Neurospora crassa OR74A: one gene and its partner. The protein of the gene in region 2 binds, or shares a complex with, the protein of the main gene of each other region. Links are inferred from orthologs where the notes say so. Each region holds a gene or a part of one and is shown on either strand. Other genes may lie near its edges. The genes, in order: NCU04068 and NCU07560.

Region 1 (15,618 bases), on a different chromosome or scaffold from region 2:
ACCTCGCGAGCGAAGTCGTGGATGTGACGGATCAGAGCACCAAGAACCTGACGGTTGCGGGGAGTGGTGTTGGGGCCCATGCCGTCAATGACATTCTGGGTGAAGTTGGGGTCGAATCTGTGAGAAGCCATCTTTGCCTGTTGTGCTGATGATGATGACGATGATGATGAAAACACTGGAATCAACAATACGGAGAGGATCAAGAGGATAAAAAGTATGTAACAGGCAGATCCAAACTTGTAGGTAGTTTGATGACAATTACAATGAGAGAAGAAGAAGGGGGACAGCCGGAGCAAGAGGTTCCTCGAAGAATGTTATATACAAAAGGGACTATACACTACAAAGCAGGCCGTCACCGTAGTGTACAACTGGGATCTCTCTTTCCCTCGACGCACACCCTGGATCTTCATGGCATTGTGAATGGACGCAACATGATAGGATCGCACACGCCCCAGGTGCCCAGGTGCCCGGATGGTGCCATGTGCCTCCATGTTTCCCCGCTGCCCTTTGAGAGCTCTGGATCCGGACGGACTTGCGGCAGGTTGAGATTCCTATGTCGGTCACTGTGGGTGTGATGTGAGTGTGGGGTTAATGGTTATGGAGAAACGGAGGCAAAGCGGGAGAAATATAGCCCTGCGTCACGGTAGCCCCTAACCCTGGATCTTCAAAACTGCTGCCGATTCGCTGCCGGGATGGTTGGGTTCAATGTCTCAGCTTGCAAAGAATCCCCGGTACTGTGGCTTCCAATACCAATCAAGGCAACAAATTTGTTCCTAAATTGAGTTCAACACTTGCTCGACTGACTGCGGTGAACCACTCGAGACATCGAGAACTGCTGATCTGGCATGCTTGGAGGCGATCTCGACTTTTTCCAAACGGTGTGAATCTTATGTCCGTCTTGGCAACAATCGTGCGGCTAATGTCTAACAATTGCCCGCGAATCCACTCTCCAGATCTCGGCATTGAGGAGCTCGAGGAGAAAATATACTACCATAGGCGCTCTGTTTACTATGTATGTATCTTCAACCATCAGCCTCCCCATCATCATCATAATGTTCAGACGCCGGTACCTAGGTACTTATCAACCCCAATCCTCGATATATTGGATCTGGTTGCCTTTCATGTCGGTAACCAATTGGTTGCCTACTGTAGCAGTGATAGCCGTCTCCATTGTAGGCTGTGTTCCAAAGTACAACAAACACCAACACTCGAGGTACCGTATATACCTACGGCATAGTAATGAGTTCACTGTTTGAATGGGATGGGTGAGCCTTTTCCCGCCCAGCCTGTCATTGCCCGTGCAATGACCGGACGGGCAGCAAGGTTCGCATGACAGCCCCCCGGGGCTCTGGAACGGGGCATCGGGGTTCCGGTTTTCATCCGGCGGGCAAGGGAGGCCTGGTCTCCCTCCCAATCGACTTTCGGGGGCGTTCTGGGCCTTGCAGAGGCGGGCATGGAACGATGGTCACTGGAGTGGTCGCTACAGATGGGAAAAATCCCACACAAGTCCGCTGCGGCCGCTGGGAAGAAATCCTTCTGAAATCTACCGTTGCCGCTTTCCGAGTCCCGACCTCGTGCCCGTGTAAACATTCTCCCCACCATTGGATACCGAAAGCTGGGGACCAAGTGGGGGGCAGAACGAAACTAACACCATTCAGCGTTTTCCCAATGCCGGTCGCAGCTCCATTCCATGTGTAAACGATTGATGCGACCCCCGTCTCGCGACAGCCGGGCAATCATGTCGGATCTCGAGTTGGGGGATGGGATGAACTGGTCGGATTTTGGGAACATGGAACTTCGTCCGTCAAGGTCCTCGAGATATTCCCATTTCTCAACATCGTTGTTTCGCGCTTCGTGATCCTACGCCGACGTGAACTTTCCAGGTCGCAGTCGCAGTCGCAGTCGCGTCGCCTATTCCTCCCAGTCGACGTCATTTCAAGATGCCCCTCCATCATTTGATGATTGGTACCTGGACCCCGCCAGGTGCCATCTTCACTGTCCAGTTCGACGACGAGAAGCTCACATGCAAGCTCATCAAGAGAACAGAAATTCCTCAGGATGAGCCGATATCATGGATGACCTTTGACGTATGAGAATCCATCATCAAATGTCCACGAGTACTGCGACTTTGCCTGCTCACAATGGAGATGGGAATAGCATGAGAGGAAGAACATTTACGGCGCTGCCATGAAGAAATGGAGCAGCTTTGCCGTCAAGAGCCCGACTGAGATTGTCCACGAGGCATCGCACCCCATCGGTGGTCACCGTACGTTACCAAAACTCCTATATCACGACCCAATGTTCTCGGACTAAATGACGTGTTTGTGTTTGTATACAGCCAGGGCCAACGACGCCGACACCAACACGCGTGCCATCTTCCTCCTCGCAGCCAAGCAGCCCCCCTACGCCGTCTATGCGAACCCCTTCTACAAGTTCGCCGGCTACGGCAACGTCTTCTCGGTCTCCGAGACCGGCAAGCTCGAGAAGAACGTCCAGAACTACGAATATCAAGAAAACACTGGCATCCACGGCATGGTGTTCGACCCGACCGAGACCTACCTCTACTCAGCCGACCTGACCGCAAACAAGCTCTGGACGCACCGCAAGCTGGCCTCGGGCGAAGTCGAACTAGTCGGCTCCGTCGACGCTCCCGATCCGGGCGACCACCCGCGCTGGGTCGCCATGCACCCCACGGGCAACTATTTGTATGCCCTGATGGAGGCCGGCAACCGCATCTGCGAGTACGTCATCGACCCGGCCACGCACATGCCCGTGTACACGCATCACAGCTTCCCGCTGATCCCACCGGGCATTCCCGATCGGGACCCCGAGACCGGCAAGGGCCTCTACCGCGCCGACGTGTGCGCGCTGACCTTTAGCGGCAAGTACATGTTTGCTAGTTCGCGGGCGAACAAGTTCGAGCTGCAGGGGTACATTGCGGGCTTCAAGCTCAGGGACTGCGGAAGCATCGAGAAGCAGCTGTTCCTTAGCCCGACGCCGACGAGCGGTGGGCATAGCAATGCGGTTAGCCCGTGCCCGTGGAGTGATGAGTGGATGGCGATTACGGACGATCAGGAGGGCTGGTTGGAGATTTATCGGTGGAAGGACGAGTTCTTGCACAGGGTTGCGAGGGTCAGGATTCCGGAGCCAGGGTTTGGGATGAATGCCATTTGGTACGATTAGATGGAATGCTGTTCTGTCGTTTTGATGAAGGAATGATGATGGGTGTACCCCCCGAAGGATGCGCAAGAGGTAAGTAGCGAAAGATGCGTTACATCAATGTGAGCCAGTAACAACATGCTTCTATCTATGATCATGACAATGAAGTAGAAAAGGATTGAACCTGTAGACCGCGAACGATGCAAGCTTGCAATTGGGAAGCAAGTCGTCCATTATTTCACTGCCAATTTTTCAGTCTTTGCTGTAGTGGTGAACCAACACAAAGCCGGGGCGTGGTTGACGAAGTTTGTCCCAAGAGCTATACCAGCCCACTGTGTCTGGTCTCCCGACGTATATAAATACATAGATCTGAAGTTTCTCTCATCACAAGGGATTGTAGTATAGTGGTCAGTACTTCTCGTTGTGGTTCTTTGTACACAACGATCCGAGAGGACCCAGGTTCGATTCCTGGCAATCCCACTCTTTTTGCGCATCATTGCATGAATGGTCCTGCCTGCTATCCTTTTTTTCTTTTTTCTTTAGGTGGTCTTTTCAGACCTTCTTGGTTTTTGTAAATATCTGCTGCTACTGGGAAACACCAAACCTTCAGGTAGGTTAGGGACAAGGTTGTGGTGGTTGAGTTGGTTTGTTCGTTAGTTTAGTGAAGGTTCCTGTGTCGAGCAGGCAAGTTTGGGAGCTCTTATTAGACTTCCAAGAGACAGAGAAAGTGTCCTCTGTTCGATGTGATATTGCAGAATGGTGATGTTTTGTGCCGTTATAGAAGCCTCGGTAACGTATCCTCTTATCCCTCTCTCCGTCTTCTTTAAGGCCTTCAAGGCTGGGAGGGATTAGTTTTACAGCGTTACTCAGGTCTGGATTGTCACTGTGAAAATGCATCGTGAGTGTTTGTAAACGGAAAGGGTAGGTGGTTTAGTTCCCGAAGGCTATGGTCGGTTCAGTTGTCACGCATCTCTAAAACCTATCTTTTTTTCAAATGTGTTTGTTGTATTACACCGGCGGACTGAAGGAAGGTTCGAAATTTGGAAGATGTGTTTCCGTCATTTGCCATGGCTAATATGCTACGCAGCACGTTCAATCGACAATGAGCTTTCTTTCAATAAAATGGAACAATGTGCGTTAACGTATCCCAGAGAACCACGTTGCATGATGACGGATTTGGGTTCCAGCAAAGATGAAGTATATATCGTCATCACTACTTTCCTCTCGATCAACCTTACTTCCAAAAAGCAGATGTCCCTCCATCCTCCCCTGATATCGAAACTACACAGCACACAACCCTCACTTGACCGATCCTTACTATGTAGCCGCCTGCCTATACGGCTCGTACTTAGCCGGCCCATGGGGATCATTCTCCGCCAGATCCGTCGACACAAAGTAATGGTCATGCTGCGAAATGCGACGCGCGCGCTCATCCTGCCTCGGCTTCCACCAGAGAAGATAGGCTAACGCTCCCGCAGCGGCCAAGACAGCGACCGGAATACCAACGCCTAGCCCAATCTTGAGACCGTTACTACTACTACTAGAGCCGCTGGAGTCACTGCCAACGTCTCCATTGGAACTTGCAATGGGTGGAGCAGCTGGCGTTGTCGTCGGCGCCAATGAAGAGGTCTCGCTGGAGGTTAGGGAGGTTGATGATGGGTCATCGGTTATCTGAATGGTAGTTCCTGATCCTGTGGCGGATGCTTTTACGGTGCTAACCCTCGTGGACGCGATGCTGAGTGATGGAGTTCCCGTGAATGTCGTGTCAGACACTTGTATAATGGTTTGCACCAGGCCGGCACTGATGGTGAATGCACTGCTATCTTCATCGTTTGATGAACAGTCACATTTTCCTTCGTTGAAGTCTGACGCACAGCAGAATCGGCCGTTTCCACAGGCAGCTAATTCGCCTTTGCGGTTCCCGTTATCTATTAAATGAAAGCAAGGTAGATGTCAGTCAGTTGTTGACAATGGCACTGACCGTCAGACAGCTTTGATTGGACTTACCAAGGCAAGCACTCCCGCAGATGTAGTTATTCCATTGAGGATTTGTACAAGCTCCTCGCTGCACCGCGCCCAGAGTCAAGTTGGGAAACGAGTTGCTTTCTGTCGTCGTAATGCAAAGCGCATTGCTGAAACATGTCCACCCTGCCGGACAACAAGAAGAAACTGGAGCGTTGAAGGCCTGGCAAGCAAAGTAGCCTGGTGCGAACTCGCCACCAGGAAAGTAACACGGCGCATTTGGGTCGGCTCGTACTTGTCGCGCTTCTGTCGCTAGGTACACAAGTATCGCGAAGAGGGAAGATGTAGTAGGAATCATTTTTGCGGGTTCGCGCATCGCTCTCTCTGGTCATCAGCAACCAGAACTTGTAGGAAACAACAACAACAAAAAAAAATGGACAATGAGGAGATTGACAGAGTTATCAGGAAAATACAAACTTGATAGAAGTAAAAACACACCCGTGGGCGCCACGACGGCCCGTCCATACTTATCAAGTGACCAGCAACACCATGAGGCTGGCAATTAGGTTATACCAGGGCCTGTTCAGCTCGACCTCCGCATCGATGTGACCCGTGATGGTGTCTCCAGAAGCGCTTTGAGTTGCTGAATGGGAGTTGATCCAAGCAAGCCACTTGGCTTGGCACGCTGCGGCATGGATGCTGCAGCTTTTCGGAGCTCAGTTGGTTCGTTGAATGTAAAGGGTTGGACTTTCGGTCCGGTTCCCTTTTCGTTGATAACAGGGTGCAGAATTTACTGTTGCTGCGCAGTTCGCTTCGAGGTCATCGGGACCGTCTGAGTGTCGTCGGCGGAAGTGAAGATAGAAATCCCACAAAATGTGATGAATATTGGAGTCGAAAGAGAAGCTCTCTCCGAGTTCGGGGCTAGCTACCTAGCTTATCCGTGGGTGCTCATGTTTAACATGGAAAGGACCCTGAACCGAGCCGTGTCATCATTGCTGTTTTGACGGGCATTCTCTCAAGAGTGGAGTGCCAAATCGAAAAAGAAACATCAAGAAATAGGTAAAGCATTTCATCAAAGTAAACAAAGATTTTGAGACTCTCATGTCTGCATTTGTGGAGATAGCGAGCGGTTGGTGGCATTGCGGGGAACCAATTGAAGTGGGAAAAAAGACAAAAAGGGCAGTCATACGTCAACAGCTTCGCCGCTACAGAATCAGTGCGGGGAACATTTGACAGCCAGAATCCCAAGTTCAACCACTCAACAACTTGGACTGAATACGTATTCCGGTTACGGATTGAAAATTCCCCGAGGTTTATCGATCCTCTCGCGGCTGTATGACTGTGGATAAGATCAAACAGCAGAAAAAGGCATCGTCCCATACTTTCTACTCCAAAATTCTCTTCGTTTTCTCCCTCATCGTCCTCATCCTGGCTATCTTCAGTTCCCGCATCTCCTTTCCCCGGCTTTCCCTCATTGCGAGCCATTTGACTGGCAGTGCCAACACAATCACAGCAACCAGCCGCTCAACCATTACAACTACATCTACACAGAAGATGGCCTCTTCCCAGTACGCAAAGGAGCTCGAGGTAGCTCAGCTCGCCGTCCAGCGGGCCGCCCGCCTCACCAAGCGCGTCTTCCACGAGAAGGCCAAGGGCACCGTTTCCAAGGACGACAAGTCCCCTGTGACCATTGGCGACTTTGGCGCTCAGGCGCTCATCATCAGCGCCCTCAAGGCCAACTTTCCTTCGGACGAGATTGTGGCTGAGGAGGAGGCCGCTCAGCTGCGCGAGGACACCCCCCTGCGGGACCAGATCTGGGAGCTCGTCAAGTCCACCAAGCTTGACGATGAGGCTGCCGAGCAACTCCTTGGCGGCGCCATCAAGGATGCCGACGCGATGCTGGAGATCATCGACCAGGGCAACAGCAAGGGCGGCGCCAAGGGCAGGATATGGACTATCGACCCCATCGACGGCACCAAGGGCTTCCTGCGCGGTGGACAGTATGCCGTGTGCTTGGGACTGATGGTGGACGGTGACGTCAAGGTCGGTGTTCTCGGTTGCCCGAACCTGCCTGTGGACGACGCTGCGCCGTTGGCTGCGGATATCGGCACCAATGCGACCGATGAGGGCCGGGGTGTCATCTTCTCGGCCGTTCAGGGCCAAGGCGCGACTAGCAGACCCCTGGGCACCGCCGGTCTTGCGGAGGGCAAGTCCATTGCGATGAAGCCTATTACAGAGATGTCCAACGCCAGCTTCTGCGAGAGCGTGGAGGCGGGTCACTCGGATCAGGGCGTGGCTGGACAGATTGCGCAGAAGCTCGGGATCACCAAGCCTAGTGTGCGCATGGATTCCCAGGCCAAGTACGGCTCTATTGCTCGCGGCGCGGGTGATATCTACCTCCGTCTGCCTACTTCCAAGTCTTACCAGGAGAAGATCTGGGATCACGCTGCTGGAGATCTGATTGTGCGTGAGGCTGGTGGTCAGGTTACCGACGTGAGTGGAAACCGCCTGGATTTCAGCGTCGGCCGCACGTTGGCTGAAAACAAGGGTGTCATTGCGGCGCCTGCTGCGGTCCACGACCAGGTCATCAAGGTCGTTCAGGAAGTTCTCGGGCAGCAGTAAAGCCTCGGTGTCATAGTGTACAGGTTATGGCAGGTATCGGGCCGTTATGAGGCCATGTGTGTGCCAAAAAAAATAATAGACTAAATGTACAATATTCCCCCCTTATCCTCATCAACAACCATATCAGCCACCAAAACCCACCGCGCGTCCTCTATTTGATCTTCTTCTGCTTCAACTTGATGGTCTCGCCGTTGACAAAGATACCCTTACCCTTGTAGGGTTCCGGTACACGCCACCTCCTGATATCAGCGGCGAAGGTCATGACCTGCTCTCTGTTGATGCCCTCAAGCAGGATTCTTGTCGGCTGCGGCGTGCTGGCCTTCATGCCCTTGGGAACGCCCATCTCGACGGGGTGGGAGAAACCGAGCTTGAGGCAGACGAACTGCTGGCCGGGGTATTCCTCCTTCTCGGGGCGGGTGTCGATTGTAGCTCTGTAACCGATACCGACCAAACGCAACACGGCCGTGTGACCTTCTGATACACCCATAATGAAGCGGTTGAGGTACGCCCATGTTGTTCCTGTTTTGTCCAAGAAAGATTCGAAATCGTCAGCTGACTGGCCGCCCGTAACTTTCCACATTCTCCAAGACAAGGAAGGTGTTTGCCATACCCCACATCTCTCTCTGCTCCTTCTCGTCCCGGTTCGCTACGCTGAGGGTCGCTCTCCTTGCCTCGGCGTCGTGGTCGATCTTGATGAAGTCGGGAATGTCCATCTCGAGTTGTCCTGTGAAAAAGCACACGCACACGTGCAACAAGTCAGCCAGCTGCTCTGCTCCCATCCTAGTCCCCTTTGCACTCTCGCGCAAACACCCATAAACAACGTTCTCTCTCGGGCCTCTCCCAGCCCATCTGTTGCGCCCGCTCCAGTTTCGTTGCGTATCCTCAAATAAAACACCCATCTGGTCCTTTTGCCAAGTCGATTTTACAATAGAACAAACTAACCCAACGGGCCCTGCACCGTAATCTTGCGCTTAGGCTGCTGCTTCCACTGCGTCATGTCGCGCTTGACGAAGGGCTCGCCAATGGTGATCTCGACGCCAGGAGGGATACTGAGCGGGGTGCGGCCGAGCTTGGACGGGCGGGTTGTCGTCGCGGAAAAGTTGCGCCGGGCGGCGGCACCGGCAGTCTGTTGGAAGGCGGGCACCAGGAAGCCGGGGAGTGTGACGACGGGAGAAGATGAGGAAGAGGCAACGGCCTCAAGGACCCTCCTTCGGCTTGGGGCGAACATCGTGGTGAGTGTCGTCGTCGTCGGCAGGGTGGTGGCCGTCGTCACGATGCGGAACCGGAATTGGCGAAGAGACGCGGCGCTCCAGTTCGGAGGTTCTGGCAGTCGCAAGGGCAGCACCGAGTCAATGGCAAGCCGGCCGGGTGGTGGGATGAACCGAGTGGATCTTCGGAGAGCTCCAAAAAATGTATCGGACCTGACGCGGCACAGCAATGCAGCTAGTGATTGGCTGTAAATACAACAGGGTTAGGGTCGTATCCGCATAGTCTCGCTGCTGCTATTCGCTTGGGCTAAGAAACAACGACGAACACCAACAGATGTTATTCCATCCGACATCATTCATCTCGAGTAAGAAATCTTCAAAAAGAAAATGGCACAGGGCGTGGAAGTGTAGAGTTTACTCGATGGAACATATTGTTTCACAATATTCAGATTGAATGTTGAATTAATCTCCCGTTCGACAATCGTCCAGCTTTCCGATGACGACTTTACGGATGCCAACCTCACGATAGTCATCACCACCCAGAACACCCGTCACGGTCGAAGTCTTCCAAACTGTCTCAAGCGAGCTGTTTGCACTTTCTCGATACCGGATGAAAAGATGCAGATTCCAGTGATGTCAAGACAAGTGGTCTACAGCCCAAATCTTTGTCTAGGCTCGCTTCTGTTGGAGAGGACAGCGTCACATCAGACGATTAAGAACCAGCAAAAGTCGAGCTCGGCAGACAATCACAGTCATATTCGATGCGAACTTCAAGTGAAGTCATTTCACACGAAACCTTTTCGCGGTTTCACAATCCTGTGATTCTTGTCCCGCTAAATTCAAGTCCGCTTCTCTTATCCTGGGCAGTCGCGATCGCCAACTTACCCTCATACACCTTCCTTCCTTCCCTCTCTTGAATCGCTCCTTCTCTTCAAAAACACCACAGAATTTTCAGTTGCATGGCCACAAACTTCGATCGCCAAAATTGCACTACCAATATTGCCAGAATCTCCATTTCTTACTGCCGAAGTCCCTTCGACGGCACTCTTCTGGACGCATCTGACTTTATCAGTATATCATCATCAGCCTGTCGCATTGCACTTACATGACAACTATGGCCAGGAAGCTTCTCTTCACGGCTCTCTGTGCCGTTACAGCTACACCTTCTCTGGCCTTTTCGTGGGGAGGTGAAAGAAAAGTGGCAGTTCGTAAGTAATATCAGAGCACTGCCTGCAGGGCTTGACTAATAATATGACCGCAACACAGCCGACCATCAAGTCAACATCGACCGCAACATCCAGCCTTCGGATCTGCTTCGAGCGTCCTCACGCCTACCAAATATCTACGCCGTCGCCCTAAGTGAACTTCAAGAACTCGAATCAGAACCGTTTTGCCATCGTGTGGCCGCCCGACTCCTAGTCAACAACTGCCAGCTGGTAGACGGAAAGAACGACGCCACAATCCTCACAGACACTGGTCGGCAAGTTCGCGACTTTGTTGATTCCTACGCTGCCAGTCTAGCGATATGTGATTTGGAGCGAGGCAGGTTCAATATCCCGGCGCAATGTGCCAAGTTCCGTGAACCGGCCCTGAGTCAGATTGCGATCCGGGACCAAGCACAACTCCACGTCAGCAGTCATGAAATCGATCACTGCCTGTCAGCCATGAAGTCGTCAGATGCTGCGTGGAATACGTGGATTAGTTATCGGCACAAGGCCTTGCGGTTCTGTGAGGCGGCCAGAGCGGATAATGAGAAAGGTATGGTATCTAGGTTGAGACGCACCGTTTCAGAGTCGTAGCTGACAGTGATTTACAGCACAAAACATTCTCCTCTATCAACGACTCACGAATGTGATGAAGAACCTTACAGAAGGCGTGGAAGCTCAGCTTCAGAAGCAAATGAATCGACTTGACCTGCGGACACAACAGTCCATGAAAAATCTCGACAACCTCACACCACAGATCGATAAACTGAGAGATGGGCTTGCCATGGTTCATGAATACTTGGCGACCGATGTTGAAGCAACACTCCGAAGGTCCTTTGCCTCCCTACACGACAGCCAACAACAAGCCGAAGACCTGCAGAAACTGCTCAACCTACTGCTTACTGGTGTTCTTGAGGGTCACTCACGAGTGGCCCATGCGCACGAACATGCCCTTCAACAAGTCTCCGTCCGAGCCAACGATGGCATTGGAGCCCTAGTTGCGGTGGTTGCCACAGCCGCAGCATCAACCACCGCCCTACAACAACAAATTGTAGGCCATCTTCCTGACAGTGACCGTCACTTACATCGTGTGACTAACCCTGGATAGGAACTCTCCAACCAACAAGCCGCCGCATTAGCCCTCCGTCAAGACAACCTCGAGCAAGGAATGGACCGCCTCCTCGCCGTCACCGAGACCCTAGCCACCAAATACGAGGACCAAACGCAAAGACTCCAACAAGCCTCCAACATCACCAACGATATCCTCGACATACTGGAGAACACCGCGGAAGCGGCATCGTCTGTGAACGAGTCCTTGTTGACCGGTGCTTCCTCGCGCAGCTGGTGGCCCTACATCGTTTGCCCTACCGCTTCTCTCGTCATGGGATCCTATGGCCTACCGCCCTCTGCTGTTCGCAACCTCGCACTCTTGGCGCTTGGCGAGGTGGCTGGGTTCATGATTTCGTCGTTTGAGCAGATTGCTGGTGCTTTGCAGTCTTTTGAGGCCCCTCTCTACTCGTCGGTTTGGGAAACGTCTGCAAACACGACTGCGTTGCCCTATGAAATATGATGCTAGTCTGGGGGTAATCTGAGGTGCATATATCCTTTAATCAAGAAGCGTGGAACCATATGCTTGGGATCTGTTCACACACGCTACATTTGGTGGTATCAATCTCTGGTCGTTGGGGGATGAGACAGGTCACGGTAACTCGGGTCAATCTAGGAGAGAAATGGGGGAAATAAGAGTCTGAAGATAGTCCTTCATCCATATGGGCAAGCGGCACATCTTAGGTTGCGTATAGTCGCTAGGAAAATCATTCGTATTTATTTCCCAGCAATTCGAGCAATGCACCGGCACTCAGCCTAGCATTTCAAGCAAGTAGACGCAAAAATTTAGGTGGCTGTTGTAGAGGCTATCGTCGTCTCCTTTCTCACAAGTCTGATTTAGTGCACCTAGGCAACAAATAATCAAGCAACGCCCCTATTCGTAACTGATGATCATCGCAGACATACTCTGCCTCCTCCAAACCTCAAACACCATAACCTACTCACAACACAGCAAACAACAGACTCCCAATAACCGCGGCCATAGCCGACATTCCCACCCCCAACCACTCCGCACAACTCCCACTCCTCTTGGCACGCATTGGGGCAGCGGCACTATCACTATCCCCATTAACATTTCCACTGCCACTCCCCCCATCAGCACCTTCCTCATCTTTAACCTCCCCAACCTGCTTCAAAACCCACACATCCCCCTTATCGTCATCTGTCATCCAGATCCTTTCTTGTCCATCAACTGCCAGCCCCACCGGCCTAAAACACTGCCCCGGACACTTGCTCACATCCCGATTCCACATGACGTCCACAAGACTGTTCGTGCTATCGCTGGCCTCTAACGGTTCCCCTTTACTTGTATCGAACCGCACAGCGGATAATTTGTACCCGGCGGGAGTAGAGCGGTCCCAGCTTCCGTGGAAAGAAATGTACGCTAGACCTAGACCTAGACTTTGATTGTCGTTGCCATTGCCATTGCTGAACTTGATGTCGAGAGGGGCGGTGTGCGCGGGGAAGGTGAGGCGGGGAGGGATGAAGTTGGTGGAGGAGCAGGAGGTGTCGGAGGTGGTGATGTTGATTGGTTTTGCTTGTGGGGAGGAGGAGGTGGAGGAGGAGTCGGAAGATGGCAAAAAGGGGATAGAATAGGGCGTTGAGTCGTGGGTGAATTGGGAGCCGGTTTTCAGGTCTCCTAACGAGGGGAAGGAAGGGGAGGCAGAGGAGTTGTAGAGGGCGAGACAGTAGGGGTAGCCGTGGTTTCCTCCTTGCTGTTGTCCTTGGTTGACAGAAGAGGATTGATTAGCGGGAGTCGAAGAGGGGAAGCGGAGAACACCATGGTAGTTCATCTCTTCTCCGGGACTGTCTTCGTGGATGTCCACGCCAAAGCGCTTAATACCATCCGCGCTGTTCTCGACACTGTAGATGCCGCCTGTGTTGGGCTCCTCGGCGACTCCGACCGAGTTACGCAAACCCCAGCCGATGGTCCAGCCTTCGCTGGGATAGTCGTATACTTTGCCGCCGCCGCCGGGTGTTCCTAGGTTGGGGTCGGAGATGTTGAAGGCTCGGATCTGTGAGATGCCGGAGGAATGGTCGGTGGCGCCGTTATCGATGTTGCTCCCGCTGCCGCGCGAGACGAGCAGGATTCCGGGCTGTTTGCGTGAGATTAGGAGCGTGCGGGTGGAGTGGCCGCCGCCCGCGTTAGTCATGTTGCTGATGAGCGTCTTGGGAGATTTCTCGTCGCTGACGCGGATGGCGTCTGCGTCATATGCCCAGCTGTAGACTGAGTTGGAAGAAGAGGCATAGAGGGTTTTTCCGTCGATGGAGAGTTGAATGCCGTGATTAAGCTGTTGTGGTTTTAGTCTTTATTTCATGTTGTTTTATAAAAAGGTGACGGCCGGTCAGGACGGAGAGCTCATCTTACATCACTCATCGACACAATTGTCGTGGTCTTCTCCACAGACAAACATGGCCATCCATCGTCCTTTATAGTCATGTGTGTGATCCCTTTACCAGCCTCAACGACCAGTAGCCTTCCATTCGAATCGACGATGACGCCTCTCGGCTTCTTGAGTCCGGTAGCCACGAGCCGGGCTTCGAAACCATTACGGACTACCGGTGCAGGATATGACGCAGGCACGGGCGCCGGGCATGTCGACGCTGCTGCTTGGACCGAAGTACCGGAGAGCCAGAAGAACAGAAAGGGCAACAACAGTGCCGTGGATTTCCAAGTGCACCAAAACATCTTGGATATCTATGTGTGGGTAGCTAAACTCCCATATAGCCCTGAAGCTACTGAATGACTGGCTGATATAGGTTTCCAATCTGGAAAGCTGTTGGTAGGAATTGGCTCAAGTTGGGAGGGTATCTGCGCAAAAAACACATGTGTAAGTCAGCCTCTCATCTAGGATTTATCTTCATGCCTGGCTGCAAGTGACGTGTTGTTGGTAGATTGCACAATAGGGTGATGGGAAGCCAATATACACCAAATTCGGCCGGTCTAGCTGCTTTTAGACAACAGGAGCGACGGAAGTTCTCCTATTTGGCAGATTCACAGTGTTCCCAACTGACCCGATGATGGAAATATGAAGAAGTTCTCTGTTGCTGTCGGACGGGGACAGAGTGGGCGAGTAACATCAAGTAAACCAACATGGACGAGCATAGACGACTGTGAACGGGCATGGCATTGCTGGTATGAAGAGAGGTAAATGTACCTTGAGGATTCTCTGGATCCTCCGTCGCAGAAAGTGATCGATTGGCAAGATACCCTTGTGGTTCCTCAACCAAATAGGTGTAGCGGTAAGGATGTTGTTGTACTTCGTTGTATTCAAAGATATGTCTGAAAGTTTGTAGAAGGTGATGTCATTTGCGTTCCAGACTCAGCTCGGGATGGAGGTGTTCTGCGTCGACTGACATTGGATGTTCCTGCCTTGACCCAGTAATAGGAGCGGGAGCAAAGGGTCGTCGGTCATCCGGAATAGGAAAGAAATATCTTGGCCTGCGCTTCAGATAGAACCTCAGCCACGCCATGCTACGGTTGAATTTCTGACGAATTGCCAGTTACAACAACCGATGAAGATGAGGGGAAGCATCATGTGCACAAACCATGTGTGAGGCATACCATGTCTCGAATTTCGGACACAAAATCCTCACTTGTGACCCCTTTAATCATAATGAAACAACATTTACAGACCAGGCATGAAGGTGTCCGTTTGCTGACTTTTCTGATTCTTCATCTCATTCTTCCTCCTCGCGGCCTTGACGCCTCTGAGCTCATCGGTCAGCGTCTCGATCAACCGCTCCAGGATCCACTCGGCCTCCTCTTGAGAGCTCATCAACGGACTCCTGCTGCCGACCCAACTCCACTTCGCCCGTTCTTTCCCCTCCAGTTCATCCTTACTGCTACGAAAATGAGCGTGAGGCTTTCGGTGCTTAGCTGCGTCGCTCTCGTCCTCTCCGATGAGCCGCAGGTACCATGCCCACTCCTGAAAAGTGTACTTCCGCGGAGGGTGGCTCTTGAGGTGTTGCATTACTAGCCCGATCTCTTCGATCAGCGTGAGGTGGTACTCGGCCGGATCCATGGGGCTTTGGGGCAAGTCCTGGCGTGGTATTGAGACGGCACGCGTCATTTCAGGAAGCTGAGGAGTTGAGTTCGAGTTCTGGTCGCACGGGTTCTCGTCATCCGTGTTTCCCATCTTCTTCGACCGGCCGTTCGATCCTTTCGTCCCTGACGTAGTAGAGGAGTCATCGAAGCGAACTGCTCGATCAGGACAATCGCCGCTGTCCTCTTCAGCTGCGTTACCTTCCACTCGCCTCTTATGACTCTCTTCGTTTCTTGCATTCTTCGCCTGTTTCTGCTTTATCAGACCCGTGTTTGCGCTTTCGGCATCAACGTCTGCTCGATCTTGAGC
Region 2 (15,783 bases):
AACCCGCAGAAGGATCTGCAGGCCATGGACCGCGCCCATCGTATCGGTCAGAAGAAGGTGGTCAACGTTTACCGCTTGATCACCCGCGGAACACTTGAGGAGAAGATTCTCAGTCTTCAACGTTTCAAGATCGACGTCGCCAGTACGGTAGTGAACCAGCAGAATGCAGGACTTGCGACCATGGATACGGATCAGATTCTTGATCTGTTCAACCTTGGTGATGCCGGACCAAACCTCATAACGGAGGGCAAGAACAAGGACAACCTCGAGGGCAGGGAGGAGGACATGGTGGATATCGAGACGGGCGATGTCAGGCAACCTGGCAAGAAAGCGGCTTGGCTCGAAGGCCTCGGGGAGCTGTGGGATAATTCACAGTACGAGGAAAGCTTCGATCTCGACGGCTTCCTGAAGACTATGCAGTGAGGGCCTGAAAGGCTTCCCCTGAACAGCCATCTGCTGTTCAAGGAACTGAGTCTGTCGGTATACCTGCTCAAGTCGTTGATGAGCAGTGGGTATGAACAAGTCATGTACGACTATCCCCATACGCAGCTTCGCAGCTCGCGCATGCCGAGTGCCGAGCCGTGGTGGATGGTGGAAGAACGAAGACAGGACTTGACGCCTGATCACAGCGTTGCTGACAGGCCATTGCCTGGATAAACCCCCTGAGAGTGGGAACGGAAAGGAGACTATATCTTCCGGTTTCAATCAGTGATGGTCAACTTGACGACAATCGATCGAGGTGGCAACAAGGACGCTCAAGTCTATCACATCATAAAATGACGAGGGAACGAGAAGAAAGGGATGACTACCATTGGCTGGATGAACATGAAGATACCCATAGGTATCTGCTCATATGATGATAAGCGAGGCGGAGGAGGAACTTCGAGGAGTGCCCATTTGCGCTCGACCTGTAGGATATATAGCATTACAGCATTGTATCTTGCTTTTTCTTGCTTGTTTTAATTTCCTTCCTTTCTTTTCATGCGTGTCAAAAGCTAGACAGCAGGCGAGGTCATTGCTAAATTGGGGATTGGTCGGCTGGCTGATGAGGAGTTACGGTGTTGTTGGCTGGTTCTGGTGCAAATAGGGAGAAATAAAATAAGGATAAACGGATCAAGATGGATGGATGGATGGTGGGTGAGGCGGATGGCCGGATACAGTGCATGAATGAGCTTGTGGATTTGCTGGAAAAGGAATGGATAGGTAGATCGGAATACCATGAATTTGCTATGCTACCGTTGAGATGCGTGCTTGGAGTGACTCGTGTCGTGTCATGCCTGTGAAGCTTCGTCTTTGACGTTGACGTGTGGGTGAGTAGAGTTAAGGTGAGAGATCGTGTTCAGGCAGTATCAACAAACTAGACATAAGCGTGTGAAGTCTCCTTACTACATGTTTATGACGGGATTAATACTCTTCTTGTTGGTCGTCTTGTATCCATTCCACTGCCCTTTCACTGCCTTGCAAAGCCTTTGGGATTCGCCGTTGTTGTCTTGCCACGGATATAATGTGCAACTTGTTGCGTTCACTGAACGTTGAAACCCTTCGCCGACTTCGAGACATCTGTAAGCTTCGGACCGAAGACCTGTAACTGTAAATTTCAAACCCTCACCTGGTTTGCAAAGAAGGGCCAAGAAAGTGAACTTCGCCAACTGGATCTCCATCGGGTTACAAGTAAACCCTCTACCTATCTATACATTTGGTCACCACAGTCGTTACCTCTACCGAAAACCCAGAAAGTATCGTACGAACGCGCTCATACCTCCTCAACGCTTATAGAATCAACATACAATTCTCCACTATGAAACTTCTGCCAGTGGGTAGTCATAAGCTTGTTATCTCAAAGATTAAGCCATGCATATCTAAGTCCCAACCGCTATCTGCTTACTCCTCCTCACTCAAGTCACCCTCCTCAATTCCTCCCCACTCATCGTCCTCCCCCTCCTGCATCGCCAGCTTCCCATTGCCTTGCCCACGAACAACAGGATCAACATCAATGGCTTTACATTTTCCTTTCTCCTCTCTTGTTGGCCTTCGACGCTTCTTTCCCTTCGCTTTGGCCTTGGCTGCTGCTAATTCTTCCCGGGCATTTCTGTAGTATGTGTGTTGGTTGGCGAGCTCATCATCATCATCATCACCATCATCCGTTCTAGGGGCGGCGGTGCGAAGGGAAGTAGTTGCAGTTGCAGTTGAAGCGTTCACCTTTACCGTTCCAGCCCCCCTTGCCTTTGGCCTTGGCCTTGCCGCCTCCGATATCGATGTCGATGCCGGTACCGGTCCAACTCCTCCAGCATTTCCATTACCTGTACCTGTACTTCGACCTGCAACCTCCGACGACCGTGACGGCATCTGTCTAACCTCCAACCCGCCCAAATCCTTCGGCCCCTTCAGCTTCAACTCCTGAACCCACACCTGCACTTTTCTAAACCGCCACTTGAACAAGTGCGCATCAGGCTCCCATTCTATGTTGAATGGTGTTTTCTCTATCACATTTCCATAGTAATCGTCCGCGTCATTTTCATTGTTTCCCTGCTGCTCATTGATGTCTTTCCCGTTATCAACAACATCATCATCATCATCCTGGCCATTTGCGTTAGTCCATTCCTTGAACCTCGCCTCCGCCTCGGGAACCACCTCGTCCCGCCAGTGCGAAACATCGTTCATCCTCGCGGGTGGCTTCGGCTTGGTTAGGGCTTTGAAGATTTCTAATGCCTCAAGGTTGGCGAGGCGGAGGGTTGTGAAAGTGCCGTGGAGAGTGGTGGCGGGGTGGAGGAGGGTGGAGGAGGGCAGGGGAGGAGGGGGTGGGGGGATGTTGTTGGGAAGACTTCTTCTTCTTCTTCTGGTGTGGGAGATGTCTTCTGAGTCGGATTCTGAAGAGGAGGAGTAGATGGTTGAGGGGGGAGGTGGGGAGTATAATGAGCAGGGTAAGGGGGGTGTGGGCGGGCGTGGTGGATTGATGGGTTGCGATTGCGATGGTGGTTGAGGTTGGGCTTGTTGTGTGGGATCGGAGGGAGCCTGTGGCTCCGGCTGTGGTTGGGTAACTGATTCGGGTTGGGACTTTAGCTCTGGCTGAGCATCTGAGTCGCCCTCAAGTCTTTGGTGCGTCTGAAGTGTAGGCTGCGTCTGTTCGTCTGATGGTGTTTGGATGCTTTGGCTTTGGCCTTGGCCGTCGCTCGTGATTTCCTGCTGCGTCTCGAGTTTGAGTTCGGTTTGCGTTTGCGTTTGGTGACTTTCGGTCTGGGAATTGTTCATGTTCGTCTGGGATCCTGAAGTGACCAAGTCCTCGCTGGTCGTCGATGTGACCCCTTCATTCAACTGCCCATCAACGTCCCCACAGCCGAACAAATCTTCCTCCTCTTCACCATCATCTTCGTCACCCCCCTCAACCCCTTCATCCACTACCTCAACCCCTTCATCTACCTCAACCCTTCCATTTCCACTTCCCATCCCCACTCCCGGACTCTTCGTCTCTTCTTCCTCACTCGGATAATATCTCACAGCCCAAACAGCCCACATCCTCTTTGCATAAATCCCCATGCCCTCCTCGTCCACCCACAACTCTCTCTTCTCCAGTACGTCCCCCAGCATCGCCGCCTCCTCGTGCACATAGTAGAACTGAACGTCCCCATCCTCGTAAAAAATCGTTCCTTTGAACAGGTGGTCGCCTACATATCCTTGTTCCACAGCTTGAAAGGGGATGTCCTCCTTGAGTAGGTTCAGCACCCGTCGTCGGCAGGTTTCGTTGGCCTCCTTTTTGGAGGTGTACACGACCTTCGATCGGTAGTGGCGAACAGAGTCGGACTCGGAGATGGGGTGTTTTTTCGTTTGTTTGATCACGTATTGTAGGATGACATCGGTGGGGGAGAGGAGGGATTGCGCGGGCACGGCTTTCTTGGGTGGAGGGGGTGGAGGGATGGCAGCATCGGGGGCTGGTTCTGGAACTGGAGGAGGAGCAGCTGGGAGGTGATGAGGGGGCGGGGTTGGTGGGCGAGCGTGAATGCTGGTTGTCGGTGCCGGTGGGTTCTTGCTCGATGATGGAATGGTAGACTTCTTGCGTCTTGAGGCTGGCGAAGGCCGAACTGGTCTCCCATCTGTTAGTGATTGTTGGAAATCATTAGTGGCGCGCTGAGCTGTGAACTTATAACCGGTTCGCTCTTCGTTGAAACTGCTGGGGAGATGGTTGACTATCCTTGCATGCTTCGTTTGAGGGCCCTTGTCCTTGAAGAAATTGAATTGATCTACGTCCGCTTGCGTAAGACGTGATATCGAAGGCTTCTCCTTTGAGCGAGACGACTGTGTTGCTTGAGCTGTTTGATGGGTTGCTGTTTGGCTTGATGCCGGATTTTTGCCACCTTGCGTTCTTCGTGCATCTTTGGTTGGCTGGCTCCTCGAAGGAACAGTGGTGTTTGTTGGATTGCTTGTAGTCTTGCCACCGAATATGCTTTCAATGGGGGCTTTGGTGAATTCTCGTAGCACTTGCTCTTCTGTTCGTTTGGGTGCTTGAGTCTCCTTTGCCCTCTCTTTGATCTGCTGGACTTTCTCCGTCGCCTTAACGCCTGCTGTGGTTGGCGTGTTCCTGATACTTTTAGCAATCTCCTTTGACTTCGCGTGATCCAGGCTCGTGCAAGGGCTCATTCGAGAAAGCACGTTTTTACTCAGGGGTCTCAGGGGCGCTCTGATCCGGTAATGAGATGAGCCGGGTTCTCTTTTAAAGCGCTGACGCTGGTCCTTTGAAAAAAGGTGGTCATAATATCCGGGGTACCGGTGCTGTCCGATGCTCAATCTCCGTCTCTTCGCACTGTCGACACTCCCACTACGGCCCAAGACCTCAAGATCTTCGACGACTAGAGGCCTCTTTGAAGGCCCAGCCTCGGCGTCGTGTTTGGTCGACGATGTAGAAAAATTTGCCTGGAGTGACTTCGTGGCATCGTCGCTGTCTTCTGTCCCCTTTGATTCTTTCGCAAGAGCTGCGCGCACATACTCAAACCTTCCCCCAAACGGTTCTTTTTCCTCTACTTTATCCTCAACTGTTCCCTCTTTTGGGGTTTCTTGAACAGGATTTTGCCGCAGGTGGTCCTGGATGGCCGTGTTGAAACGGTTATCATCTGAACTACTTTCATCGTCCGGCTCGGTTCTCTTCGGAGATGATGACGACGTATCAATGGCTGTTTCTTGGAAAGTTGTTAGCTGTCTCGGTCGACATAATGCTGTATGGGGCTGAGTACACACCGTGGCTATGACCGGGTGTTGAGCTGTTTGAACTGCTTGCTGCTGGTTCTGGATCCAGAGCCTGGGTGGATGTCGGCAACGACGTAAACCAAGATTTGGCTGGCCCAAATATCGAGTTCATCGTGGTTGTGTTGTGGAACTCCGAGCACCGCCTGGTCTGTATCCTTTGTATGGATACTTGAATCGCTCCGATACGGCCGTTGCAAGCTCTAACTGATTGACATATAACGGCGCAGTGAGTGTATGGAGGCCATTGATCGAGCAAGTTGTTGAAAGGTGGCAGATATGAGATGGCGTTGAACTCTTGTCAAGGTTAATAATGTGTAGTTGGAACAGCGGCTGCGGACACTTTCGACTCCATAGACACTAGAATACGGACGCAAGACGATGTCTGGGAAGGAAACTGTAAGAGCAGCAATTATCCATCGAGATACAGGTAGATTTCTTGGCGCGGAGTGCGAGTGTCTTTTAATGATCTCCAGAGTAAAAGCAGAGGATGACCTAAGATGCAGAGCGAAGAAGGGAGTGAGGGAAGAGTATCATGAAGCAGAGAAGGAGGGCGAGGAAGAAAGAGGAAGATTCCATTTATGGTACCGCTTGAACGTAACTCCACGTTCTGAAAGAGTGATGTTTAGAGGGATAGAGCACGGCAATGTTAACCAAGGGCTGGGAGGAGTTTGTTGTCGTCGCCATCGCCATCATTGTCTGTGGTGTATTTAGTCGTGGATCCCAGCAAGAAGGTAAACATACAAATATCCACAAATCGTGACATGGCGTTCACCGTAAAGTCAAGTCCAGATGAAATGAAGCCACCAACATTCTACTCATTTCCTCATCCTAATGGCTTGTGTTCAAGGCTCATGACCACAACATCGAGATCATGAGCCCGCGATCCCAAATACGGTAAGATCATGATGTTGAGAGTGGCTGTAGCACCTTATAGTGGTGACTTGATGAGTTGAATGAATTGAAGCTATTCCCGTTTTTGACGACGCATATAATGAGGGGGGGTAACATTGGATGACGGATGATGTTCCTCAAAACAAAGCCCGACAGGGGAAGCTTGCAGCTGGTGCCCGCTGGAGGAGCATTCCCCATTGTGCTGGGGAGGCGGGCTGGGGCTAGACCGGGAGCATCTGAGGTACCGCCCGTTCTCCGCATTTTAAGCCTTTGTCGCATTGGCCAGGTGGGGGCCAGTCTTGCCTGAAAAGAGCAGCAAAAGATTTCAAATTTGTCTTGTGAGTGGTCGCTGAGGTGTCTCGGGCGCGGCAGTCCACTGCCCTGTAGCATAATGGCCGGCCCCGGAGCCGCGACCACACACCACTGTTTGGGGTTTCAAGCGGACGACCATCTCACCGGCCACAAGACGTCACTGACGGCATCTCTCTTTCTCGGCCGGCTCCAAATCTTGCCTTTGGGCCCATCCTTGACCCGACACGGACCCAGAAAACCACCACCACCACCACCACCACCACCAAAACTACTCCGCAGACGCCTCCATCACCGTCCGCCACAACGGCCGACGATTCGTGTTTCTGATCTTTTTCTGTTCTTTTCTGGCCCAACCAGCGAGCATCGCATTTTTTCCCGCTTGAGTGTGGTGTGTTGATATACAGAATAAATACCCATTGTTTTTGGCTTCTCCAGAGATCCACGTTGGCGCTTGAGGTGGCCTTGTCGATATCTCCAGTTTGCTTGTTCCCTTCGTGCGACCAGTCCTCCATCGGTGATTCAGCAAAAACACACGAGACGCATAAAACCCAGGTCTACCACAAAACAGCACCCACCACAACAACCAACTAGTCGATTGCGACGACATTCACAATGGAGAACACTACGCCGTCAGAGAATACACCGCTCCTCCCCACTACGACACCATCATCGCCCGACGTCAGCCGTCCCACGAGACCGCAACGAACTGTCACCTTCAACCCCAATCCCGTTACCAAGACCATCGAGCCCGAGGCAGCCTACCGTCAGGCCCGCGCCTCGCATCCAAGCCTACCGCATCCGCCAATGTCCCCTTCAAGTTCCTCCGCCATTAGCACTGGTGGTCTCGGCGGCGGCCCCCCCATGTTATCGGCCTTGAATGGCAAGATGCGACGACGGAACAGCGGCGGTACTATCGGAACCAACCACAATTCCGGCCTGCCCTATACGTCTGCTGGCAACACTCACCTGCCCAAGATCGGCCCCCAACGTAGCACCAAGAACGCCCAGAAGCTCAAGCTGTTACCCAACCCAGAGCTGGAGGAAGATGGCGTCGACGAGGAGTCCGGTCGCGACGTATACTCGCAGTACACCCGTATCAAGGATCCCACGGCCCGTCGTGATGCTGCGCGCCTCGGCAAGGCGGATCGCGACAGGCTGCCCAGAGTGACGGCGTACTGCACAGCTAGTAGGTACCAGATGGACGGCCTTATGCGGTTCCTCAAGAGCAGATCCAAGAGTCGGGGCGCAAACCCAAAGTTGATCGACGAGTGCATCTACACTCCTTATAGCTACAATCCCAAGCAGGCGGCTGAGAACAACCGGGCCGAGGCAGAAGCCCAGGAGCAACAACAGCTGGGGCTTTTTGACCCGATACATTCTCGCAGACATTCCACCGGCGAGGTGACGCAAGGTGACAGCAGTGGTTATCAAAGTACAGAGGACCTGATCAGTCTCAATCTCAATGGAGGCAGCACCTCCAGGGAAGGTGTTCAGGACATGGTGGCCCAAGGGGTCATCAGCGACGAGAACGCTGTGTCGGATGACCCGCTGGCTGATTTCGACATTCAAGTCCACACTCCGGAAGTCTTCCTCTTTGAGTACGGTGTGGTGGTAATATGGGGCATGTCGGTTGCCCAAGAACAGCGGTTCCTAAAGGAGATTGCAAAGTTCGAGTTGGAAAAGTTGGGGCCGGACGATACGGAGACGGAGTACTTCAACTTTTACTATACACACGAGTACCAGGCCCGGATCTACAACGACTTCATTACCTTGCGAGACAAGAACAACTACATGACGAAACTGGCCATTTCCCACGCTCTCGCCCAGAGTGTGAAGGTTGGTTTCTCACCTTACTATACTTTGTGCCTGACGTAAGACTGCTGGCTAACCCTATCACATAGACGTCTCTTTTTGAAGAACTCATTGCCTCAACCATCGAGACATGCAAGGACATCCCCACGCAGATTGCATTGACGGGCAAGATCGACCTCAGCCGGCAACAGATCAATATGCAAATTGGAGAGCTCTTCATATTGCGTGTCAACATTCACCTAAACGGCTCCGTCCTCGATACACCGGAGCTGTTCTGGGTCGAGCCACAACTCGAACCATTGTACAAGGCCGTGCGCAGTTACCTCGAGATGGACCAGCGTGTCAAGTTGCTGACAGAGCGTATGGATGTCATTGCCGATCTGTTGGCTGTTCTCAAGGACCAGCTAACTCACGGTCACGGAGAGAAACTAGAGTGGATCGGTAAGCGGCCATGCACACATACACCCTCAACAACATCCTGGGATCATGCTAACTACTTTATAGTGATTGTCCTTATTGCTGCCGAGATTCTCGTGGCGGCCGTAAACATTGTTGTCGATTTGTATGCGGGCGTTGACTAGAAGAAGACAGCAACTCGGGATACAGTGCCAACAGAGGGGTGGTCCCTGCGTAACTCACTTCTTTTCCTTTTAATTATTTTCTGCATGGAATTGGGCATCTTTCTGAGCACTGGAGGAGTTCTGGGCCTAAAGGCGATGAGCTGTGACGTTGTTTTTGTCTGGTTGGATTCTTTGGTGGATAGCATTTAGAAGGGATGGCGCTTCGTAGGGCCAGTGATGAACAAGAAAGGCAGAGAGAGAGAGCCTTGATATGCCAGAGAAAATAGGTCAAAGAGCGCCAACGATATTCTCGTTCTGGCTTGACGACCCGTGATAGACGATATACCAGTAAGACTTCATTTCATTATCTTAACCAGACGTGATACTCTGCCCGTTTTTCTATCTTTCCCCGGTACTTCGATTGGCCGGGTGACATTCCCTACTCTTCCTTCATCTGATGTTCCGGCAGATACATCATGATACATCATGAAACATACTATGGGACGGTCAAGGCACCAAACAGGCAGGACTGGGCAGGTGTCCGTCGGTGACGTTCCCGTCGCAAACGAAGAAGGAACTGCAGCACACGGAAGTGACAGGCACAGCTTCCAGTTCGCGAGGAAGGTACGACGAAGGCAAGCCGATAGCGGAAGTCGCGTCTACCGCGATGCCTGGGCAGTGAGGACACTTGGGATTTTCCTCACGGGGGTTTCATTACCTTTTCACCCCACCTCGGCGTTCGAACATTGTTTTCCTACCATCATCCTTCCTCCAGGGTCGTTAGGCATTCAACTTCGCAAGATCTGCTCGCATCAGGCTCAAAACTTATGTTGATGGACATCTAGATCGCGGCTTCGATCCTGATCTCTGTCAAAATGGAGGTCGACAACGTCAACTTCTGGGGCCATCTACCCACTATCCTTGACGCGATTGCCGATGCCGAGTTCATTTCGCTTTCTGTAATCGGTTATCCCGATGCTGTCGTCAAAGCTAACCTGACCAAGGAGGAGCTCTACCGCGAATTGGTAAATCACTCCAAGATTTACCACATCACCAAGATTGGCCTTACTTGCCTCCAATACGACGAGAAGCAAAAGGGTACGTACGATGGCAATCTCTTAGCCTGGGTGTTCACCGAGGTAACTGACATTCCGAGTCTCAGCATACTCTGCGCGCAGCTTCAACTTTGCCATCACCCCTTGGTTCCTTTCTGCAAATATCCAGGCGGAACTCATCGCAAAGACCGTCAATCGAACGTTTTCCTTTTCATACGACACCCTTCAACAGTTGGCGACAAACGGCTGGGGTTTTAACGAAGCTTGGGAACGGGGTGTTCCTTACTTGGCCCGCTGGGAGGCGCAAACAGTCGAGGAGCGTTTCCTCCAGCCTTGGGAGACCAAGAAGCCATTGGACATCAACAAACTAGATGCCGAGTCCCAGAAATTTCGGGCATGGGCCAATGAGCAGATCACATCTTGGCTGAAAGAAGAGGTACGATGACTCCTTCTGATTTTGTCTGTCGACTTGCTGGTCATCAAGCTCATGCCCGCTTTCCTTTACAGGACAAAACTCTTGACTTAGCAACCCCCTCAGGCGAACGGCTTACTAGCCTTCAAGTTGGACTCATCTGCCAACTTGTCTACTCCTGCTTTGATGACTGTCGCGCAACTCTTAGAGATGACAATCGAATCATGCAGATCACGAAGCTCAGTCGCACAGAGCTCACCATTGAGGTCAGGGAAACAGCCACAATTCAATAGTTTAGGACTGTTTTACTGATCGATGCTCACAGAGATTGACGAACCGCCGCATTGCACTGGCGCGACAGTCAGGTAAGCGACTCCAATAGCACTTCATGACACCCAGGCCTTTCTGGTTCCACTAACGTTTGTTCTTGCAGGATTTCTCTACGTGGTGGAGGCCCTCCTCGGGGGACAATTTGCCAACGACATCGAGCCCGAACTATGCTTGGCATACGTATCGGTGGTGGATCGTGACTTGCGAAATCAACTTATTTCGGCTTTCCGCGACAGACTTAGAGCAGCTGAGGATAGAAACAGGCTCAGACGACCTATCCTGCTCATACACTCTCAGCTCGACATGCTGTGTCACTTTTACTCGACATTTTTGGGCCCCCTTCCAGAGACATTCGACGGATTCACAAAAGAAATACACAACATTTTCCCTCGGATCGTGGATAACAGGATTCTGTATCCCCTCAACAACTATCCATCTCCCTCGTTCCACGGGCACAAGCCTTCAATTGAGTTCATCTCTGCCGCAGAGGAAGAGGGAGGACCCGGGGTCACACCAGTACGAGGATTCGAATACCAGAACAAGATGGCTGAAGAACACGGTCTTTACGGCTGGTATTCCAACCTCGCATTCCTCAAGGTTGCAGCTAAGAAGCTGCAGAAGGAGCAGTGGCTGAGCAAGACTCGGCCCGAGAAGACGTGCGGGAGCATGAGAATGAAGACGGTAAAACCAAGCAAGCTTTTCTTCACGCTCAATCCCTTTGCGCCCAACAGCATTATCAGTCGTCGGTCAAGTATTTGTTCTTCTGTCGCTTCTGGTATGACTGGAAGCATGGTTGACACCCCGCCCAGTGTTTTCGGTGACGGCAGTGATGAGGAGGAGGAGGAGGAGGAAGAGAAGCAGGAGGCACCTGAGGTTCATCGTCTCCCCCCGTGGGAGGCAGTTTTCTGGGAAAAGTTTGGAAACAAATTGGTCCTTGACCACGGTGAAGTTTTGGCGCTCACCACTTCGATTCCGCTCAGAAAGTCCCGGATTCGGAATCTCTAGGATGATCATCGGGACCTCCTGTATGAGCTCCTTTTTGTGTGGGCTTTGGGCACGATTTGTGTGTTATTCAGATTGCTTTTCAGATGGGTGGAGATTTGAGACTTGACTTGTGTGTGGTGTGGTAATGCCAACAAGTAATTTGTTAATGATGTACGAGGAATGGAGGAGTACACCACTGGTACGCGCGCGAGAAGTGTCCCAGCTAGAGGTGTAAGCCAACGGCCTTATATGGATGATCAAGGAGGATGTCCTGATGGAGGCGTAGGAGACGTGTGAAGATATCCTACAGGCCGCCGTGGTGTGGACTTTCAACCAGCTCAAAAGTACCGTTGCTTTGGTCTGCGGCTGGCACAAGCTTTGACTGTGTGTCTCAAGCCGGGAGAACCGGTGTTCATCATTGATCAAGGCTGGATCTTGAAGAGGTCACTGCCATACCTATCCACGTCTCTAATGCAGAATCGGGTCACAGATATGTGATTAGCTCAGTCTGTCTTGTTTGTGTATGTTAGTATCAGACTTCACCTCAGATAGCGGTATGACCAACCCAGCGGATGTCTGGTAGTATTCACCAACCATCTCGCATCCTGTATGACATCTTCATCCCAAATCTCTATACACAGCATATGTTTTTACATTACAAACAACACCCTCTCTCGTCCCTGTGCTTCATGTCAGCCTTCGCCCGCTTCTTGCAGACATGGCATGCGAGCTTGGCTTCGGCCTGGTCAAGTACGCTGAGGCGTGCGAGGCCTTTGAACTGTCAAGTCAAGTTCCAAACCATCTCTGATTCTCTTCCTCGAGACCTTTGATTGTGTTCGGCTAGGGGGCGGTCCAGGTCTACTCAGCGCATAAACAACAATTGTACCTTGCCACCGACCGACTAAAACCATCTTTTGATATCAATACATTTGTACACATGCTTCTCTCTTCTTCTTCTTCCGCCACCCACTGCACTTCCCCATTCTATTTCCCCGGAAGATAATGGTGTAGTCTCACCGACTTCGACCATCGACTCATCATCACCTCTCCAACCTTGTTCTTCCATACTTCACTTCACCAGACCAGGCTACATAGGGTGTTGTTGTGTTGTGTTGTTCACCTCTCAGCAAACATGCCCTTGACGCTGTGGAAGTACTCCTCCGCCAACGTGCTGCGCAGCTCCTCCTGCGTGAGCCACTTGAAGTCGACCAGATCATGCAGGTTGTCGGTCAGGTCGGCCTGGCCGGCCATGATGCGGCCCTTGAGGAAGAAGATCTTCTCGCCCTTCTTGAGCAGGGCGCCGTCCTTCTGGCCGAAGACGGGGCGGACGACGTGGTGGGCTACGGGCACGCGGCCGACGATCCACGTGTTCATGTTGACGCCTGCGGACTCGGCGAGGATGCGGGCTGCGGTCTGTTTATCGTCATCATCAAAGGTTAGTTGGCCGCGAGTTTTGGAAAATGGTTGGAAGTTGGGTTGGGGAAAAAGGGAATATAACGAACCTCATGCAACCCCTCATCCGTAGGCACCACGCCCGTAGGGAACATCCACTTGGCCTCCTCGCCTTCCTTGTCCGCCTTCTTTTTGACTACCAGATAAAGCGTCTTGTCCAGCGCGCGATCCAACCGCTTGACATCCCCTTTCTCATCCGCCTCCGTCCGTCTCGGCATCGGCTTCTCGACGGGGACCCGGTCCTCGGCGGGGATCTCCTCGCCATCCTCCGACACGCGCATCTCCGCGTCGGCAAGCAATTTCTCCACCATGTGCTTTCTCGACGACGTCTGCGACCCCACCAGCACCTCGTCGTTCCACGCCATCCGGCCGCGCGGGTTGTACCGACCAATGTCCTTGGCGGGCACGCCGTGGCGCTCCTTCAGCTTGATGCGCCAGTCCAGGTCGGCGGCCGTGTCCTTCTTGAAGTAAAAGTCCTTGCGGAAGGGGGCCGTCAGCCGCTCGTTGAGGCGCTTCTGGTAAAAGTAAAAGGATTCTTCAAAGGGGGTGAGGTCGCGCGTCAGCAGCGGGGGGCGGGTCAGGATCACGCCCGACTTGATGCGGTAGATTTGCGACGAGGTCGAGGTGGCGGCGTGGGTGCCTGTTGATGTGGTGACGGGCGGGTGAGGAGGGGGTAGTGTTGTTGTGGTCGTGGCAGTGGCAGTGGCAGTGGCAGTGGCAGAGGCCTCGGCGGAGTAGAAACGTCTAGGTGCGCTGGTGACGCCGGCGGGCGCAAGTACTCGGGTTTGGTTGCGGCATTGTAGGCAGATGGACCGTTGTTGGCCTGGAAGGAAGAGAAAGAACAGATTGCGACGGGTTAGTTATGGTGTCTTTAAGCTTAAAGTTTGCGATCGGAAGCCATGCATGGAAAACACCAATTCGTAACGAGTTGACGATACGAAAAGAAGATAAAGAAAAAGTGGTCCATACTCCTAAGGAGAGCAGCTCCCCTACTCGACGCCGACATGATGGGCAGTATATATGACTTGGTTGTTGAACGGGGCCCGGGTGTGTAGACAACGGGACACGGGACGGGGAGAGGGAGGGAGGACGGGTGAATCTTGCGCGCGCGCCAATCCTCAACGCAACTCTCTCTCTCTCTCTCGCAAGTCTCGGGGTGGATGCGGGACGGGGTCGGTCGGTCGGTCGCTGCGGCGGGCGGGCGGGCGGGCAGGCAGGCAGGGCAGAGCGGACGGACGGGCGACACACAGCGCGGGAAACCGGCCGTGAACTTTTTCGATGTCCGCAGCCCCACTCTTTCCCTGGGGCCCTCCCGCCTGCCGCGCTGCCGCCGCGCACCGATCAGTCAGGTCCCCTCCCTGCTCGTTTCGTTCCTGGTCGCGATTGAACAATTGAGTCTTGGCAACCGATTTACTTTCCTTCACCGCCTTCCCTTTTCGAAAGCTTCCCTTTTTCTTCTCCAAAACCAATCCCCCCCGCTACCTACCCCACCATAACTTTCACGTCCTCAGTTAGGTTCACGGCTCCTACGACCCCACATGACCACTCACCTGACCGAAGCGGGTCCAGCAAACTTTTGAACTGAACTGCTGCAATAAAACTGCCACCAATCCCCCCTCCCCTTCTCTTCTTCCTTCTTCTTCTTCTTTTTTTTCTTTCTTCAAGGCACCATTCCTTATCATCACGACGTTTCTCTTCCTCCAAAACTGTCCTGATCATTTAGTCCGTGCCGAGAGGAACCACCATGAGCAGACGAATTCGCTAGCGGTACCTGCCTATAAACGCTCTACCGGGTTGCTGTTAGATAGAATCTGCTTACATATTTTTCTCCTGCGAACTCTCGTGACGGTTTTGCATTGTATGTATGTAATAATACTGCAGACTGTCTTGTGTGTGTGTGTGTGTGTTTGCTCTTTCTGAGAAATGAGCTTGGCCCAGTCAGTCTGGTCAGTCAGTCTCCTTCTCCATGGCATGTACACTACGTGTGAGGAGACTTCGCTAGATGAAAGTCAAGATGGGGCTGGTTTCTTTGAAAGTGTTATTCTTGCCACTTCGTGAAATGCTTCCCCGTCTCGAATTTCTCAAGCCTCGTTTTTGTGGCACGCGTCTTGTCTGGCTGCTTGGTGTCCTGTCGATTCATTCCTTGACTTTGGATATGAACCTTCCTGAGATCATTCATGGATCGTTCTCCATCCCCGACACTTGCTTGTCGTCACTCCGGTCAATGTCGCGATCAAGCACGGCCACATCTACTGAAGTCTCAGCTACGCCGCAATGCACATACTGCCCAGCTCAGAATATTCATTTCCACCATCCATGTCGCTGATCACGATATACATATGCGTGCTTCATCTCATAGAATTATCAGACCTGCCTCCTTGCTAGCGTTCGGACAAGCTTTCCAAATCTTTACTAGGCTACGTATCAGAATGGATGGACAAGTTAGTGGAATATCAAAAAAAGATGAACAAGAATAGAATGAGCAGTCATCACGTTATCAACCGACTTGTTCAGCACACCTTGCGCAATGCCGGAAACAGTGGACTACACTACATAGTCCAAGTTCCTTAACGATGACCAAAATGCAACAAAAAAAAAAAAAAAAAAGTCATGTCTGTTCATTGAAAAGATCCTAATGTATAAAAACTACCGCACGCCAGTTGTCCGCCAGGATATTTACCCAGATTCACCCCAGCCGGCCCTGATACCATACACCATCTAACATATACATCACATGAGT

The links.
Region 1: NCU07560 (region 2) and NCU04068 share a complex: the UniProt entries of both Saccharomyces cerevisiae proteins name them as parts of the mitochondrial large ribosomal subunit. The link is inferred for Neurospora crassa OR74A from reciprocal best matches to the Saccharomyces cerevisiae genes MRPL17 and MRPL6.

Annotation. Positions count from the first base shown.
Region 1 is NC_026506.1:2,629,434-2,645,051, reverse strand, and holds NCU04068 (mitochondrial 54S ribosomal protein YmL16), read right to left. Parts: upstream 9,157-15,618; 5' UTR 8,972-9,156; coding exon 8,686-8,971; intron 8,468-8,685; coding exon 8,354-8,467; intron 8,263-8,353; coding exon 7,895-8,262; 3' UTR 7,744-7,894; coding exon of another isoform or gene 6,457-7,743; 3' UTR 6,350-6,456; downstream 1-6,349. Other genes in the region: NCU04072 (catechol dioxygenase), read right to left, coding at 1-131; cmc (carboxy-cis,cis-muconate cyclase), read left to right, coding at 1,941-2,087, 2,158-2,266, 2,339-3,183; NCU04070 (hypothetical protein), read right to left, coding at 4,477-5,087, 5,167-5,497; NCU04069 (3'-phosphoadenosine 5'-phosphatase), read left to right, coding at 6,457-7,743; NCU04067 (hypothetical protein), read left to right, coding at 10,066-10,159, 10,218-10,709, 10,768-11,207, 11,265-11,726; NCU04066 (hypothetical protein), read right to left, coding at 12,205-13,554, 13,632-13,952; NCU04065 (potassium channel protein), read right to left, coding at 14,893-15,618. UniProt on the Saccharomyces cerevisiae protein: Component of the mitochondrial ribosome (mitoribosome), a dedicated translation machinery responsible for the synthesis of mitochondrial genome-encoded proteins, including at least some of the essential transmembrane subunits of the mitochondrial respiratory chain.
Region 2 is NC_026503.1:4,356,639-4,372,421, reverse strand, and holds NCU07560 (50S ribosomal subunit L30), read right to left. Parts: upstream 14,397-15,783; 5' UTR 14,050-14,396; coding exon 14,013-14,049; intron 13,867-14,012; coding exon 13,094-13,866; intron 13,005-13,093; coding exon 12,708-13,004; 3' UTR 12,143-12,707; downstream 1-12,142. Other genes in the region: crf8-1 (TBP associated factor), read left to right, coding at 1-423; NCU07557 (hypothetical protein), read right to left, coding at 1,681-1,688, 1,788-1,807, 1,886-5,162, 5,227-5,347; NCU07558 (sporulation protein RMD1), read left to right, coding at 7,051-8,274, 8,340-8,691, 8,755-8,831; NCU07559 (hypothetical protein), read left to right, coding at 9,686-9,908, 9,967-10,301, 10,603-10,642, 10,711-11,612; NCU16690 (hypothetical protein), read left to right, coding at 15,046-15,369. UniProt on the Saccharomyces cerevisiae protein: Component of the mitochondrial ribosome (mitoribosome), a dedicated translation machinery responsible for the synthesis of mitochondrial genome-encoded proteins, including at least some of the essential transmembrane subunits of the mitochondrial respiratory chain.